2 linked regions of the Neodiprion lecontei genome follow. The protein of the gene in region 2 purifies or fractionates together with the protein of the main gene of each other region. This does not show direct contact. Links are inferred from orthologs where the notes say so. Each region holds a gene or a part of one and is shown on either strand. Other genes may lie near its edges.

Evidence for each region. The genes of interacting proteins can lie anywhere in the genome.
Region 1: the proteins of ubiquitin conjugation factor E4 A (region 2) and UBX domain-containing protein 4 purify together in Homo sapiens (affinity purification with mass spectrometry; 3 studies listed by BioGRID and IntAct, counting the BioPlex papers as one, with this or other methods). This does not show direct contact. The link is inferred for Neodiprion lecontei from reciprocal best matches to the Homo sapiens genes UBE4A and UBXN4.

What each region holds. Positions count from the first base shown.
Region 1 is NC_060263.1:33,915,353-33,921,863, forward strand, and holds UBX domain-containing protein 4, read left to right. Parts: upstream 1-1,973; 5' UTR 1,974-2,033; coding exon 2,034-2,115; exon of another isoform or gene 2,116-2,116; intron 2,117-2,476; coding exon 2,477-2,611; intron 2,612-2,767; coding exon 2,768-3,216; intron 3,217-3,359; coding exon 3,360-3,632; intron 3,633-3,731; coding exon 3,732-4,043; intron 4,044-4,184; coding exon 4,185-4,420; intron 4,421-4,593; coding exon 4,594-4,732; 3' UTR 4,733-5,208; downstream 5,209-6,511. Other genes in the region: prenylated Rab acceptor protein 1, read left to right, coding at 303-536, 671-870, 954-1,060. UniProt on the Homo sapiens protein: Involved in endoplasmic reticulum-associated protein degradation (ERAD). Acts as a platform to recruit both UBQLN1 and VCP to the ER during ERAD.
Region 2 is NC_060264.1:1,777,326-1,785,750, forward strand, and holds ubiquitin conjugation factor E4 A, read left to right. Parts: upstream 1-2,598; 5' UTR 2,599-2,754; intron 2,755-2,898; 5' UTR 2,899-2,957; coding exon 2,958-3,557; intron 3,558-3,637; coding exon 3,638-4,030; intron 4,031-4,116; coding exon 4,117-4,443; intron 4,444-4,530; coding exon 4,531-4,724; intron 4,725-4,809; coding exon 4,810-4,920; intron 4,921-4,996; coding exon 4,997-5,312; intron 5,313-5,376; coding exon 5,377-5,553; intron 5,554-5,699; coding exon 5,700-5,845; intron 5,846-5,924; coding exon 5,925-6,074; intron 6,075-6,149; coding exon 6,150-6,393; intron 6,394-6,453; coding exon 6,454-6,616; intron 6,617-6,685; coding exon 6,686-6,890; intron 6,891-6,995; coding exon 6,996-7,146; 3' UTR 7,147-7,232; downstream 7,233-8,425. Other genes in the region: uncharacterized protein LOC107220280, read left to right, coding at 1-121, 410-516, 607-662.

The sequences.
Region 1 (6,511 bases), on a different chromosome or scaffold from region 2:
TTTACTGTCAATGCTGTCAATGATACGGGACATTTATGGTTTGCGTATTCCAGTCTGATTTAATTCAATAAATACGACGCTGATAATTCTACTTCTTTGTGTCAAAAAAAATGATAATTACATTGACAAAATTTCAACCGAGTTCGGAATTTAATACTACGTTTGACACACCCTATGACTACAGACACATTTTTTAATCATAAATGTGATCTCGGGAATCTTTTAGCTTTTTTCAAAATTTTATGCCTCGGACTTGGAAATCTGGCCTGCAAATGAGTTTCTTTGCCATTCCTGTTTTTCAGATTTGAACTGCCACAGTTATCACAACTTCCTCTTGGTCAAATGGGCTATCCTCAAGCTCAACAGTGGGTGCAACAAAGGCAGGCTAACATTAGGCCCTGGAGTTTATTCTTGAACACAAATAACATCAGAGCACCTCCAAGTTTTTCTAGGCTTACCAAACGAATTATGAGGAATATTGAGTACTTTCAAAGCAATTACTTATTCGTGTTCCTTGGTCTGGTTATCTATTGTTTGTAAGACATCATGTTTATTATATCTTTATAGAATATTTACAAATTATGTTATTGTTTGAAAGAAATTGGTACGATATTAGCAATGGTAAATAGTATTTTGACCATTTTTTTTACAACGTTTTGTATTTTTATAGAATTACTTCGCCGCTTCTGTTACTCACTGTTGTCTTATCCCTGGGTATTTGCTTCAAAGTTTCCCAACGGCACGCTAAGCAGGAATTAATACTGCTTGGTCACAAGTTAACGCTAGCTCAAGTTTACGGCCTAGTAGCTGCGTGCTCTTTGCCTTTGTTTTATCTTGTTGGCGCAGGAGCTGCTTTATTTTGGGTTTTGGGTAAGTTTTGACACAGTCACATTTAAATACTCCATAAACTAATTACAGAAGAACGAAAACGTAACACTGTATGTAATTTCTAGGGGTTTCATGGTTTTTGATAACCATTCATGCTGCTTTTTATAATATTGACTCGGTGCTATGTCCCGGTGAAGATGAATTGGAAGCACTAACAGTACACGAAGTCTAAGGAACGTTAGTCAATCATAATGGTAATAATAACGATATTTGCGAATATTTTGACGAGAAATTATAAATAATATAAACAGGTGTTCACGACGGATATCAGGACGAAACATCTGTAACAAAAATTTAGTCAATATATTTATATATATAGATTCATAGGCAATCTACACTTATGTAATACATATAGATCTACATAAATATATGAAAAATAAATAATATATATTTTGCTCATGCTGCATGTACTAGTATATCCTACAAAATAAGTGTGAGTTAAAACATGAAAAAATGATAAGACGATACTTCCGAGTCATTTATACCAATTTTTGCTACAATGATGCCTCTCTGCAATGCAACCTTTGTCAAGCAGATAGCAATAAATATTGATATTTGGATAAAACAATATTGTCTCGTTCATTTGTTAAGATGTGTTCTACCGAAATAGGTAAAAAAAAAATTATCTGCATAATATAACGTATATAGGTCATAGAATGTCGTACACGTCGTTAAATGAGTCTCAATTTCAAATCTAACTTTCACTGTGGTGACAGGCTATATATTTTTAACTTGAGATTCAAGTCGGAATAATCAGTTGAATCATTTGAGAGTTTAATTAATTGACATGTACTTCGGTCACATCAGAATAATCCCAAATATTTTTCAGTTTTGCCTGCAATACTAGCTACAACTGTTACATATAACGAATGTTTATTCAATAATCAAAAAAGAAATCACCCGGCAGTAGGTTGGGTAATTTCTTAAAACAATCGTTGTCATTTGTTGGGTAGTTCGATTACAGCGCACCTATCATCAATCCCCAGCAACAGGAAGACAAGTCGTGCACAAAACGCGAAACGTCAACTTGGCACATCAAAATTTCTAGTGTGATTATCAGCCGTCTTTTCGACGTTGCGTCATCAGTGTCAATATTCGCAAAGGAATTCACGTATATTTTTTCAGTGATAATCAAGAATTAGGAAATGAAGTGGTTCGAGGGAAATATTACAGAGGCAGTGGCGGCATCGAAATCGCGAAAGGCGATTTTTGTTGTGTTCGTTGAGGGTTCGTAGTTTGATGTTTAAGGTTATGTCTCTGCTGAATATTTCTTCTCGCATATTTTTCATAAATTTTACTTCTATCGCTTGGCGAATTGCCTCAGATTTGAATGTCTAATCCATTGTCAGCTTAATTCGCAAGTGTACTGTATAATCATTTTGTTGATACAGATGTGTCAACACTTTCACCATATTCGTTCGAATTTTTTTTTGCTTAATCATCGTTATTATATGATTTTTAGAAATTCGTCATACGTTTCTTCCTTTTCTTCGACATACTGCAAAACAATATTGTTACTTCAATACTTCTCATGAAATGCACAACTTCAAGTAATTCAAACTTTATTTTGTTCTCGGCATACATGTAGGAAAAGATGACGCGTCATCGAAAATTGCTAAAGTAATTGACAGTGAAGAAATTTCATCTCGATTAGAGCGGGATGATTTTGTTGCTGTCAAACTAGAGGGAGGCTCAGAATCCTACGGATTCTTTACACAAATTTGTATCCTTTTTTCCTACTACTTCATTTACAGAAACATGAAAATTTTGCTGGACACATGACCTACAATTCATGGATGGAGTTTCAGTTAAAAAGAAGTTTAGCCATTTGACATCAAGTTATATCCACTTAAAGTTATACCTTGACAATGGCATTCAGATCAATTGGTCCCAATTCCATCTATGTTTTTCATCGGCCAAAATGGAACACCAATAGAGATAATAGCTGGGGAAACGAGCGTTGCCGATCTAACATCGAAAATTGATACAATTCTGAAAAAAGCTGATCCAACGTCAAAAGATTCTTCTACAAGCTTTATTCAGGCTGAACAAAAGTCATCGGCAGGTAGCACAAGCTCTCTAAAGAATAGTGAGACAGAAATAAGCGCGATCGATTTAGAAAAAACTGAATCGGGAACAAGCATGGCGCCAATACCTGCCACCTCACAGCAACTTCCAAAAGAGGAAATCAAAATTGATAATGAGGACAAAACTGTAATCCCAGACATTCTTGAAACTGAAATAAAGCCTGCCCCAGCAAAACTGGATTCCCCATCCACCAGTCAAACTGCTACTGAAGCAACTAACAAACCGGAGCTAACAGCAGAAGTAAGAGTGCACATGAAAACATCTTTGAGAATATGTTAATTATTGTTAAAGACACGGTATTGAGATCGATTTTACTGTGAGATACAAATTTCATTGATAGTAGATTCTGTTCGCTTGAAAATATTCTGCGTCAATGTTTTTAGGAAAAGGTTGAACGAGCACGACGACTCATTGAGCTGCAAAAAAGACAGCGAGATGAAGAAGAGGCTAGGAAGGTTCGTGAAAGGGAAATTGAGAGGAGAAAAACTGGGCAAGAAATGCTGAAGATAAAACAGAAACAGCAAGAATTAGAAATAAAGCAGGCCTATGATGAAAGAATGAAAGAAAAGGCAGCTGAAGCTGCTGCCAGGGAAAAAGTCAGGCAGCAAATTATGCAAGACAAGCTTGAACGCAAGCAAAGGGAACTTGATCAGCAGGTTTGTATTCATCTGCTATCCGAAAATTCTCAAGAACGCTGTAGCTGTTAGTATGAAATACATTTTTAGATGTTATCTTTACCTTTCACGTATCCACAGCGGCAGTACGGACAACAAACTCCCATACAGGAACAGCCGAAACCGCGTACACCTCTTTCAAGTGACTCTGGAATCGTGCGAATCCAATTTCGACCACCCAGTGGCAATCCACACATGGGGCAGTTCGAGTCTACAAGTACACTTGGAGCTCTTCGTTCTTATGTTCTCGATAACATCGAGTTACCCTTCAGACAGTTTGCTTTGTCTACATCGTTTCCAAGAAGAGATCTAACAGTCGACGATGATGCCAAAACATTACTTGAATTAGAATTGGTTCCTACAGCTGTGATATTAATTCTGCCGCTAAGAAATGTACGTTCCATCAGCTGTAATTACTATTTTCGAGTGAAATTTAGCAGAGTGGTCAACTTTGGAGTCAAAGATGCATCTCCATACATGTCTTATACGATTATGCAATAAGGTGAAACCATGTTATTGTTTTTCTTGTTTCAGACCAACAGCACGACTGCGGTAACATCAGCCCAGGATGATGGCTACTTGTCGCGGTTAATGTGGGCAATTTTTGCGGGTGTACTTTCTGTGTACGGCTATATAAAGGGATATTTTACCGGACCTCCGGCATCTTCTGCAGAGCACCAAAGTTCTAGTTCAACTTCGGGTGGGGTTCATCCAACTGCCAGCAATACCGATAGTGGCAATTCAGAACCATCTCCAAGTGTAGCAGCTGGGTGAGATTTTAGTGTTGTACAGTATATTTTCTGGTCACTAAACACCAATGATGGGTGGTTCTAGATCAAGAGACACAAAAGTATAATGATAAAAGATGAAAACTTTTTTTTATTACGATTACACCAATTGCGACCAGTCGTTTAAAATTATCTATTTTTTTTTCTACTTGCAGATTACTAAGGCGTAATATTGGTGGTCAAGGAAGTGCAACGATAAGGACACAGGGCAACGTGCATAGATTACACTCGGGTGGTGATCCGGATAATGATGAGAATAACACTTGGAACGGAAACTCTACTCAGCAAATGTGAAAGTTCAAATATCCGTTGAAAAGTCGTCTGAAATTATCATTCGTGAATAATTATACGATTACGTTGTCAGAGGATTAAAACCGGAAGTGATTAGATTGAGGCAAAATCATCAGAAAAAAAAAGAAAAACCAGTTCGATATTTATTTTCACGACTATTTTTTATTGAATCACATTGTAAAACGAACACGTGCTTACCTACATTTTTTCGTAATGAAGTGTAACGAATGTGCAAGAAACAAATTGTCAACAGTTCTTATAGCTCGTTAATAAGCCACACCATGTTTCTTCCGTTGTTGAACAATCGAAGCTTAGTGCTGCTACGAGTATAATTACCATAATTTTTTTCTCTATAATACGGTGATTGGATTCCAAAAACGAAGGCGCAAAAAAACGGCAACAATTCTAACTTAATATTATATCTTATCTATTGTTAACAGATAAACCACATAATAAATAATCATTTACAATTATCGAAATTATTATTGTATGAGAAGTTTTTTTTCCTGTGTTGAAAGAGCTGCATTTGTCATTGCATTACCTTGAAATAACAATTTTACTACAGTTTCTCAAAATATCACAACGTTCTGCCTTCCAGGTATTAATATCCACTACCGTTATTTAGTTCCCCAACTGAATGACCACTTATTATACGTATGATTTCAATGAACTTCATCAATACTTAAGTCGCGACGGTTTGTATTACAGATATTAATGTCAATCAAGCAAATTGAATAATGAAGCAAAGACAAAAATTGCGGCATTATTACATACCTACTCATTATAATATATTCAATACTTTTTGATTCGATACGGATTGATATTAAATTTCTTTGAATTATCATACGATTGGGTGATATTAAAACCAGGCTGAAATTTTCAAGTTCACTAACAGTAGATGCATAACGCCCGTTTGTGGATATATTGGTTTATGTCACTCTCAATATTTGACATTGAAAAAGGATGAAAATGTATTATTATTCAAGGAGTACGAGAATTATTATTTTTATTTCTAAAACTACAATAGTCGTCTAATGTGAAAAATGAAAGTTACGTCAGAAATGTATACATAATTATATATAAATATCTTTATATGTATGTGCGTGTATGCAGAAGCATAATAAAAACGAAAGTAAGGCATATATTATACATACATTCCTATCGTGAAAATTGAAGAAAGAAATTCAATTTAGGTAAGTTGAATTGAAAAAACCAAAAAATTATTCAAATAAATATAAATTATTCAATTAACGCAAAAGAACAATTCTGTTAATTACCGAGAACCATACACCGCAATAATTAAACCTTTTATTAAACCACATACCTCTGTCGGACAGTGTTTTTTCTCTTCGGAAAGAATTGTTACACTACCTAATGTATTCCAGGTGCGGCGCGGGCTGAAATCTGATATCGAATATTTCAAGTGTTTAATAATTTTACGGATAATTGGTGTTTGGGTCGACATGTTTCAAGGGTCAAGCGTCCAGGCAGTAAATCAGATTCTCTAATCACTAGACACTTGCGAGTTAAAGCATGTGCACCCTGCAGTTTCTTCGGTGAACATCTTTTTCGGATCATCTTTCACTGCACTGACTAACCCTGTAGTTTGTTTTCTCAGGGACAGCTATAGTGAGAAAAGCACGGACATCATCTCAGATTTTAAAAATTTTCTCGTATTCGCTAATGATTGTCAGCAGACACGTGGAAAGAAATTTTTTTTAGATCTTACAACACCCCTGGTGAATATAAGGACAGCACTTTTTTTGGAGTTGAATCTACATT
Region 2 (8,425 bases):
AGCGGATGCAAGTCATATCGCAAGACCGGGATATCAAACGATCTCGCTCCGAACGCCCAAGCTCTGCACATTCCTACTCTTTCGCAACTCAACGGACGCTTGCGAGAAAAAAAATGAAGGAGTATGATTCTACCTGATATTTTGCTCTATTTTTTCATATGGTTCACTATTTGTTCTCACAGATTTTTCTTCGATTATTCGATAATAAACGATCAAAGAATTGCAAAATCATAATCAAGATCCGATTTTGTGTACTAATAATATTTTTCTGCCAGAAACTGACCAAACGCTTCATGAAAGTAAATGAAATTATGATTTATTAAGTGAAATGCATCTAATGCTTTACTGGAGTGAAATGTTTTTCAGAAATTTCTTTGCTAAATCATTTTTCCTTCTTGGTTACTTTTAGGATGGGAAATTTTTCCTCTCCTCCTATAAGTAGTCGCACTTGTTCAGCCAGGAGCAGATGTCAAACATGGACATCAAACTCCAGAGAAAAACGGTCTCAAAATATTTGTAAGAATTTACAAAATTTTTCATAATCAATTAACTACAATATCATAAATATCTGTCATTTTCATATTCCACTTTTTAATTCTTTCACAGATCACGGAATAAAGCGAAGTACGAGTGCAGGAACCGTTCGAAAACCTTGGAGATGAAAAACCATAACGGTGCCTTTACATTAAAAAGTCTAAGTCATATGTTTTTGTACAAAATTTCATACTGCTGAAATAATTCCGTACAGTGCCTTGTCATTTTTTTTGTTATTAAACGCAATTGTTAGCCCTACAATGTTGTATTCGCCCATTATATTTCCAGAAACCTACCAAATTTACACATAATAGGAAATTAACTAAACAAGTTGAAATCGCAACGACATATAATTTATACTTTAAACTTCCCTCCATAAGTAGCGACGTGAAGTGAGCTATTATTGGACAGGCAGCAGCGCGATTTTCAATTGTCCCATACGTGATAGGATATTGCCTATATACAGGCGTACTCACCTCCGTGTTTTGGTTTATTGAAATTTTTCATTATTTCTTACGATGCTGAAGTTAGTAACGCTATCGTAACAATTTTTCACAAACTTTTTTTTTTTGGTAAACCGTAATAAAACAAAACATACTCTTATGTTGAAATTTAACAAGAAAACAGTGATTATTTTCCCAATTTTTCAATGCAATAACGTTACTAACTTCAATCTTCTGATTTTTCTCCCTCCCGTAATACTGCGAATATTCCACAATATATATTCATCAAAATATTTTTACCTTCATGTACAAACTGCAGTATTGATGACATCCTCGTTAATCCTCTCGTCCCGCTGCCACAAATAATTTCACCGATTCACTGAACCGAAGTACCGACGAACACGTCGAAGATGCACATCACTTCTTACCACACGAATAAAAATAAACCATCTTCAAATGCGCACTCAATTAATGCTCTCAACGCGAGAGCAATATTCCGAATTACCGAACCTGTAGTAAACAACTCTGAATGTCACCCGACGATTGAACGTAAACTGCGACACATCACGTCGATCACGTCGTTTATATTGCACATATCTTTCCTTTTATGAAACCACTGCCACAGTATTTAGTTACCGACAATAAGTTGACAACATGACGGTCATTTGTTGATTGTTTATTCACCGTTTATACCTCTACAGCGATGGCACAACCTTCCGCGTAAAAAAAAAAAACTCTTTGATCAAAATAACCTGACGAATTCCTTCAAATTTACGCAGATACTAAGATATTTATGTCGATTCGGTATCGATGGACCAATTTTTCGAACGAAATATAAGAACAAGAATTTTCATTCGTCATGCACTGTCACAGCACTGGGCAACAAGTTGTTGCAACTTTTTCTTCGACCGGTTTTCACGTGAAATATTGTTGGATGTTTACAAATAACTTTACCAGCCACGGAAAATTACTCTATAGATGAATTTTATCGGTTCATATTCAATAACTCACCGCGATAATATGATTATCCCGTGATTTTCATACATATTCCGGCGTCCGACATCGGGAGACATCCAAGCTCGTTGAAATCGTATCTAGAACTGAACGATCTAGAAAGTTCAGGCCAGTGGTGACGTCACACAACCACCTTCTGTGCTCGCGACTTTATTTTTGAATTTAGAAATTACTTACAACGATAAATTGAAGTGATTTACGCGTTATTAATTAGTTTATAAGAATCGGACCACGCCGAATTCCCGACATCCGAACCGACGGCGTCACTGATTCGAATAAACGAACTAACCGACTCGCAGCCAATGTCACACCGATGAAATTTGTTTTTCGAGCGGTATCGAACGTACATTCAAATTCACATCATGTTCTAAGTTCACATCCATCCCAACGTCATTATTACCACGTGCATATACATTAATAATATATAATACAAACATGCATACATGGTATCCAAATATATATAAAACAGTGTTTTGATACGATTTTGTGAGCTTTATCCGAAGGATGCAAACAATAAAATTATACGAAATGACACATCTCGCTACTCATCTCTGATAAAAGTCGCTACACGTGCTGCACTCTGTGCGAATTTTTAATAACGGTAAGGAATTGTTTACGGACAGTACTGATCTCTATATAATTTGTGTAGCAGGGGTTAAGGATTATGACGTCAAAAAAATGATTTGTCAAAATGGTAAACATCGGACAATGACGATTAAAGACCTTAAAAAATATTGACACCACCAACGCGAGGTCTATAGAGGTAACGTAACTGAGACACCTCAATAGTTTACAAAAATTTTCAAGTCATTACACCATTATGTTACGTAAATAACCATCATAACCTAAGATCTATCCTGTACACACGATACTCCGATAACAATTACGTTATCTCTGTCTGTTGCAGCTTAACTCCTAGCATGATAGCTAGAACGTAATCTGTATAGTAAAATCGCTCCACCGACAATGTGTGAAAATGTGAATCACAATCCGTTTGCGGGTCTTTTTACATCCGTAAACGAAGCAGCTTCATTTTCTACCCAAAACCAACCTTCGACAGTCCATGCAGACGTATCAAAAAATACTGACGAACATTCGACAGCGGAGAGTAACAGCGTCAACGGTTCTAAACCAATCAACACAGCAGCCGAAGCTGATGCTTTCATTAACGACATAGTTGAGGAAGTTTTCGGCTTGACGCTGCATTCGGATGGAGCTAAAATAAAATCTGGACGACAGCTGGTCTTTCTTGAGGACTTAGCCGCTGCTTTGGCCCCTCAAGATTGGATGGATGCTGAGTCGGTTGAGCACGCTATTTTTGAACGACTTATGCTCAGCAATCCAGGAGCCAAAATAGTTGACAATAAAAATGAAAAACAAACAAACTCTATCGACGATCATGTTTCAGAGACTGAAATTATACCCTATTTGTACGAAAGTTATCGCAGATTACTGCGCTATAAACCAAGCCATAGATTGCACGATACGATAGAAAACATCACACGAATCGTCGTCAGGAATGTTGGCACTGCTATGCAGGAACCTGACTTATTCCAAAGTCAAGAGGTTCGTGATTTGTTTATTACCTGAAATCTATACACCTTGAAATTCTAATTTCGTATATCATTTTAAAATTATATTCACAGGTGCACAAGCAATTTATAGCATTGTTTATGGACGGTGGAGTAGTTGGACAGGAGTTGACCTCCTTTGTAACAGACATTGTCAACGAGTTAAACTCCGAGGATAGGGATGAAAGCCTCAGTGTGATCAGCACAGCTTTCACGCCAATCCTGAACAGCATTCATCAGGAGGTGGCACAGTCCAATCTCTTAGTTTTTCGACAATACTGGTTCGGACTTCTACAGACGTTTGCTTCTGTTGAAGGTCTCGCCTTGTTTCTCATATCGCACAGCACTCCTCGTGCTATGCAAGGAAAAGCGTATTCAGATACGCTGTTGGGGGCACTGCTGTGTCTAAGCTGTTTGCCCAAAACTCTCGAAGCTCCGTTTGACTTCTTTGACAAACCTTTGCAACAGGTGAGCAAAAAGAAACAATTATCGCTGCAACTCGATTTCAATTCGAATGGTCGATTCAATAACAGATTACTTTTTCTTGTTTAAAGTCAGTTACTTCTATGGAAGGAAATATCTGGACAGCGTTGGATGCGCTTAGCGAATCGCTACATAAAGTTTTTCACACTTTACTAAAGTGTTCCACAGATGTGCGCCACAAAACTTTAAAATGGATAGGCGATTGCCTCCATGCCAACGCTGGGAGAGGAAAGCTCTGGAATTCGCATAGCGATGCTGGACTGACTATGACGCTGACTGTATCCGATGGTTTCATGTTAAATCTCAGCTCAATATTGCTCAGGCTTTGCCAGCCCTTTTGCACAAAGTTGAACGATAGCAAACTGCTGAAAATCGATCCAACTTACTGTTCGGTCGAGGTAGGCTAGTCCCGTTCAAAGAATTTCTGTTAATATTTAAGAATCGCGTCTAATTCACAGCTAATATTCGGACATTCTTTTTCCTAGGCTCAAAATGAAGAAGAAAGTAAGACACGTGGTCTTCACGCCAAAGGTTTAAGTGGAGAAACATGTCTCATTCCAATACCCGAAGGTGAAACGCGACCAGCAGCTGAAACATTCGGTTTTGTTACTGAATGTTTTTACCTGACTCATAGAGCATTGGATCTCGGATACCGTGTTGTTTTGGAGAAACTCTTGAGGTGTGCTAAACATGTGCAACAAACTTTATATGCTAAAATCATTGTCCAAAATACAACCTGCTCAAAGTACTCTACTATTTTGCAGAGCAAATCAGGACTTGGCTCGTATGCGGCGGATATACAGCGATGCTCAGGGTGGTGGAAACTCTGAAGTACTAGAGGCTATAACCACGCGAATGGAAATGGAAATGACAAAGTAAGTGAGTAAGTAAGCAGGGGCTTGGAAGATGAATCCCTCAGACCAGGTCAATAAAAAATTTTAAATTTTCCAGATACTTATCGCTTAGAGCTAGTCTTTTGGCGCCTGAGATGCTGAGTCTACTGGCAAAATTCCACGCTGCGACGGCAGTCTGGCTAATACAGGTCAATCTGGATATTGAGTCTGATTTCATTAAGCATAGTACTTATGCACCAAGAGAATTTAAAACCGTCGCGTTCCCGCTACCTGAGACTGTGCCAGAAACTCTAAGATGCATTCCCGAATTTGTGGTCGAAAATACCGTCGGATTTCTCTGCTTTTTGCGACGTTTGAATCCAAACACGTTCGAAGAACAAGGACCGAGCTTTTTGAACCCAATCCTAACAGAGGTAAGAACTTTGCTTTTATATTCCGTTGGAAAACCTTATAAAGTGATTTAATTCAATCAAATAGGTCGTCGCGCTGATGGAGTCTCAACGGCGTTTATATAACCCTCACCTTCGTGCGAGACTCGCCGAAGGACTCGAAGCGCTCTTACCTTTAAACGAGGAACCCTCAAATCAAGCGGTAGCTGCGCTGGGAGTTTTTCACAGAGAGCAATTATTTGTTACTCATCCCCACAGACATCAGGTTAGTACAACGTAATTATATTCTTGAATGGGATGGATGGAAAGTTGGTTATTACTTTGAAATCACTTCGCACGCTTCTTTGAAAAGTCTTGTGAAACTGGATGACCATACAGACGATTAATATCTCCTTGTAATTTCTCATTTAGATAGTTACAAATTTGCTCCAAGTATTTGTGGGAATCGAGATGACAGGTCAGAGCGTTCAATTTGAACAGAAATTTAACTATCGACGACCAATGTACATAGTTATGGATTATTTATGGAAAATACAGGAACACAGGAATAATTTCAAGTAAGTGTGAATGTAAAGAGGAGCTCTTAAAAATAATACTGAATAAAATGTAGTCAATTCATGCGGGATGTGTGCACAGGCAACTGGCTAAAGAGGCTGAACAAAACATGGAAGCAGTGCAGCCACCACTGTTTCTCAGATTCATGAATTTACTTATGAACGACGCGGTATTTCTCCTCGATGAAGCACTCTCGAATATGGCACAACTCAAGCAACTATTCCAGGCAAGGTGAGCGTAAAGTTTTGCAGCAAGTAATCTGGAGATGTTTATTATAACATGACCAAGCGATTTATTCAATATCAGAGAAAATGGCGAGTGGGATAAACTTCCGCCGCACGAAAGAGAGCAACAGATGGGATATCTGACACATATCGGTATGATAGCCAGATTTGACAATATTCTCGGCAGAGAAACCATACACACTTTGGAAATGCTCACTTCTGAGATTATATCCATTTTCTGTCATCCCACTATGGTCGATCGCATCGCTTCGATGCTCAATTATCTACTGCTGCAATTAGTCGGACCTAATCAGAAAAATCTTAAGGTGAGATGAGACGCGTAATTGACGCAATTTCTCAGTATAACGTAGTGGATCTATTACTAGGTCAAGGATCAGAAAGAATACGACTTCAAACCGGCAAATTTGGTCTTAAATATCTGCAAGATATACATAAACCTGAGTCACAACGAAGCTTTTACACTGGCCGTTTCTCAAGACGGACGTTCCTACAGTCCGGAATTATTCAAACTCGCGGAAAATGTTCTAGGTAGGTATTGAAGATAATAAAAGACATAATATTATCCTGAAAATTGTCTAAATGCTCCTAATCAAATAGTACGCATCGGAGGTGGCGGGATACTTGGGGATCTTGACCAGTTTGCAAAACGGGTCGAGGAAGCTGCTAATCAGAAAAAACAAGAGGAAGAAATACTTTCTGGTGCCCCTGACGAGTTTTTAGACCCGATTATGTCCACGCTAATGACAGATCCAGTCATTTTACCGTCTTCAAAGATTGTAGTGGATCGCCAAACTATTGCAAGGTTCGTCGCAGCTGAAATCAACCATATTGCATCGATGGCCTAACTTTGTTATTACGAAATTTAATAGCAATGTGAAAGATTCATGAATACTTCGCAAATTTTTAGACACTTGTTAAGTGACCAGACGGATCCCTTCAATCGATCGATGTTGACGATGGATATGGTGAAATCGGATACGGAATTGAAAGACAAAATAGAGGAATGGATTGCTCAGAAAAGGAAAGAAAATATTCCGGGAAGTAGTAGTGAAAAATAATATCACTATTTCGTGGTGCTGCTTGGTTAAACCGATAAAAAAAAAATGTACAAGTATGAGTTTACTGGATTATAGATATCCAGAAAGAGTTTACTGCTTTTGATGATGTGTAACAATTCGACGAAACGTGTGAATAGAAAAATTTTATCACAAATCTGAGAGTCTGCAATTTTACCACGTCGCATCGATAATGAGCGAGATTTTATTACCCGAACCCAAATAACAGTGTAATCTATATTTAGAATTCTCCAACTTGATACTACTTTATAGTTTGTGTTCAATAATCAGCTCGCAGTGTCTTTTACGAGTGAAATCAATCAACCACCGATGCAATCTTATGCAAGTAGATTTTTATACCGTGTATATGTGATACAATTGATTAGCAACTTTGCTTTTATCAATTTGCTAAATAACTTCACTATCGGGATTGAATCATTGCAGACTGCGTATTGACAATTACCAATAATTACAATATTATCAAGAACTTTTATCAACACTATGCTAATTTTGTTTCATTTTATCGCGGATAATAGCTTTTTCCCATCTGTAGATGGGACGATTATCAAAATTTTGAAACATTCCATAGTAAAAAGAGCAAGTTCCTTTGTGTGTTATGAAAAATTGCTCGAATCTGCTGCATTGTAATCAAATGTTGATTCCTAACAATACGATTTGTTTGAATTTCGGAAATATAGCGTGCACAATTTAATAATTACTTCGAACCCAGTAGAAATATGAAGTTCAACTTAGTAAAAAAAATTATGGATACATCATAACGTGGTTGTCGCTATTGTAAATAGTTGACATATTTAATTTCTGCTGTCATGAGTTTAAATTGAATAGAATATTTGAACAAAATGACTTTTCACTGATTATAATGTTCAAAGACTTCTTCAAATTTCGGAAAAAAATTTATGATTTTTAGTTCAGCAGTCAATCGAAGTTTATGAATGGAAGAAAAATAGTTTATTGTAATATAATTTTTGTATTAATAATTATGGAATTATAGCATTCTACTTTTATTCCTCGAAATAATCATGTGTATAAAAATAGCATTTCACAAAACTTTAAAGCACGATAGGTTCAATTTGTTTCTGGATATTGGAAAATTTATCACTGCCTCTAATCAAGGCTAAATGTCAATAAAATGTTATGGAATAAACTGTTGATGTATTATAATTAACGTATTGATTATTTAGCATATACCTCTCTCCGTAAATGCCCAAAATTTCCGCAACCAGTTACCGTTTCTCGCGTCGATGGTAAAAAGTTACTTATA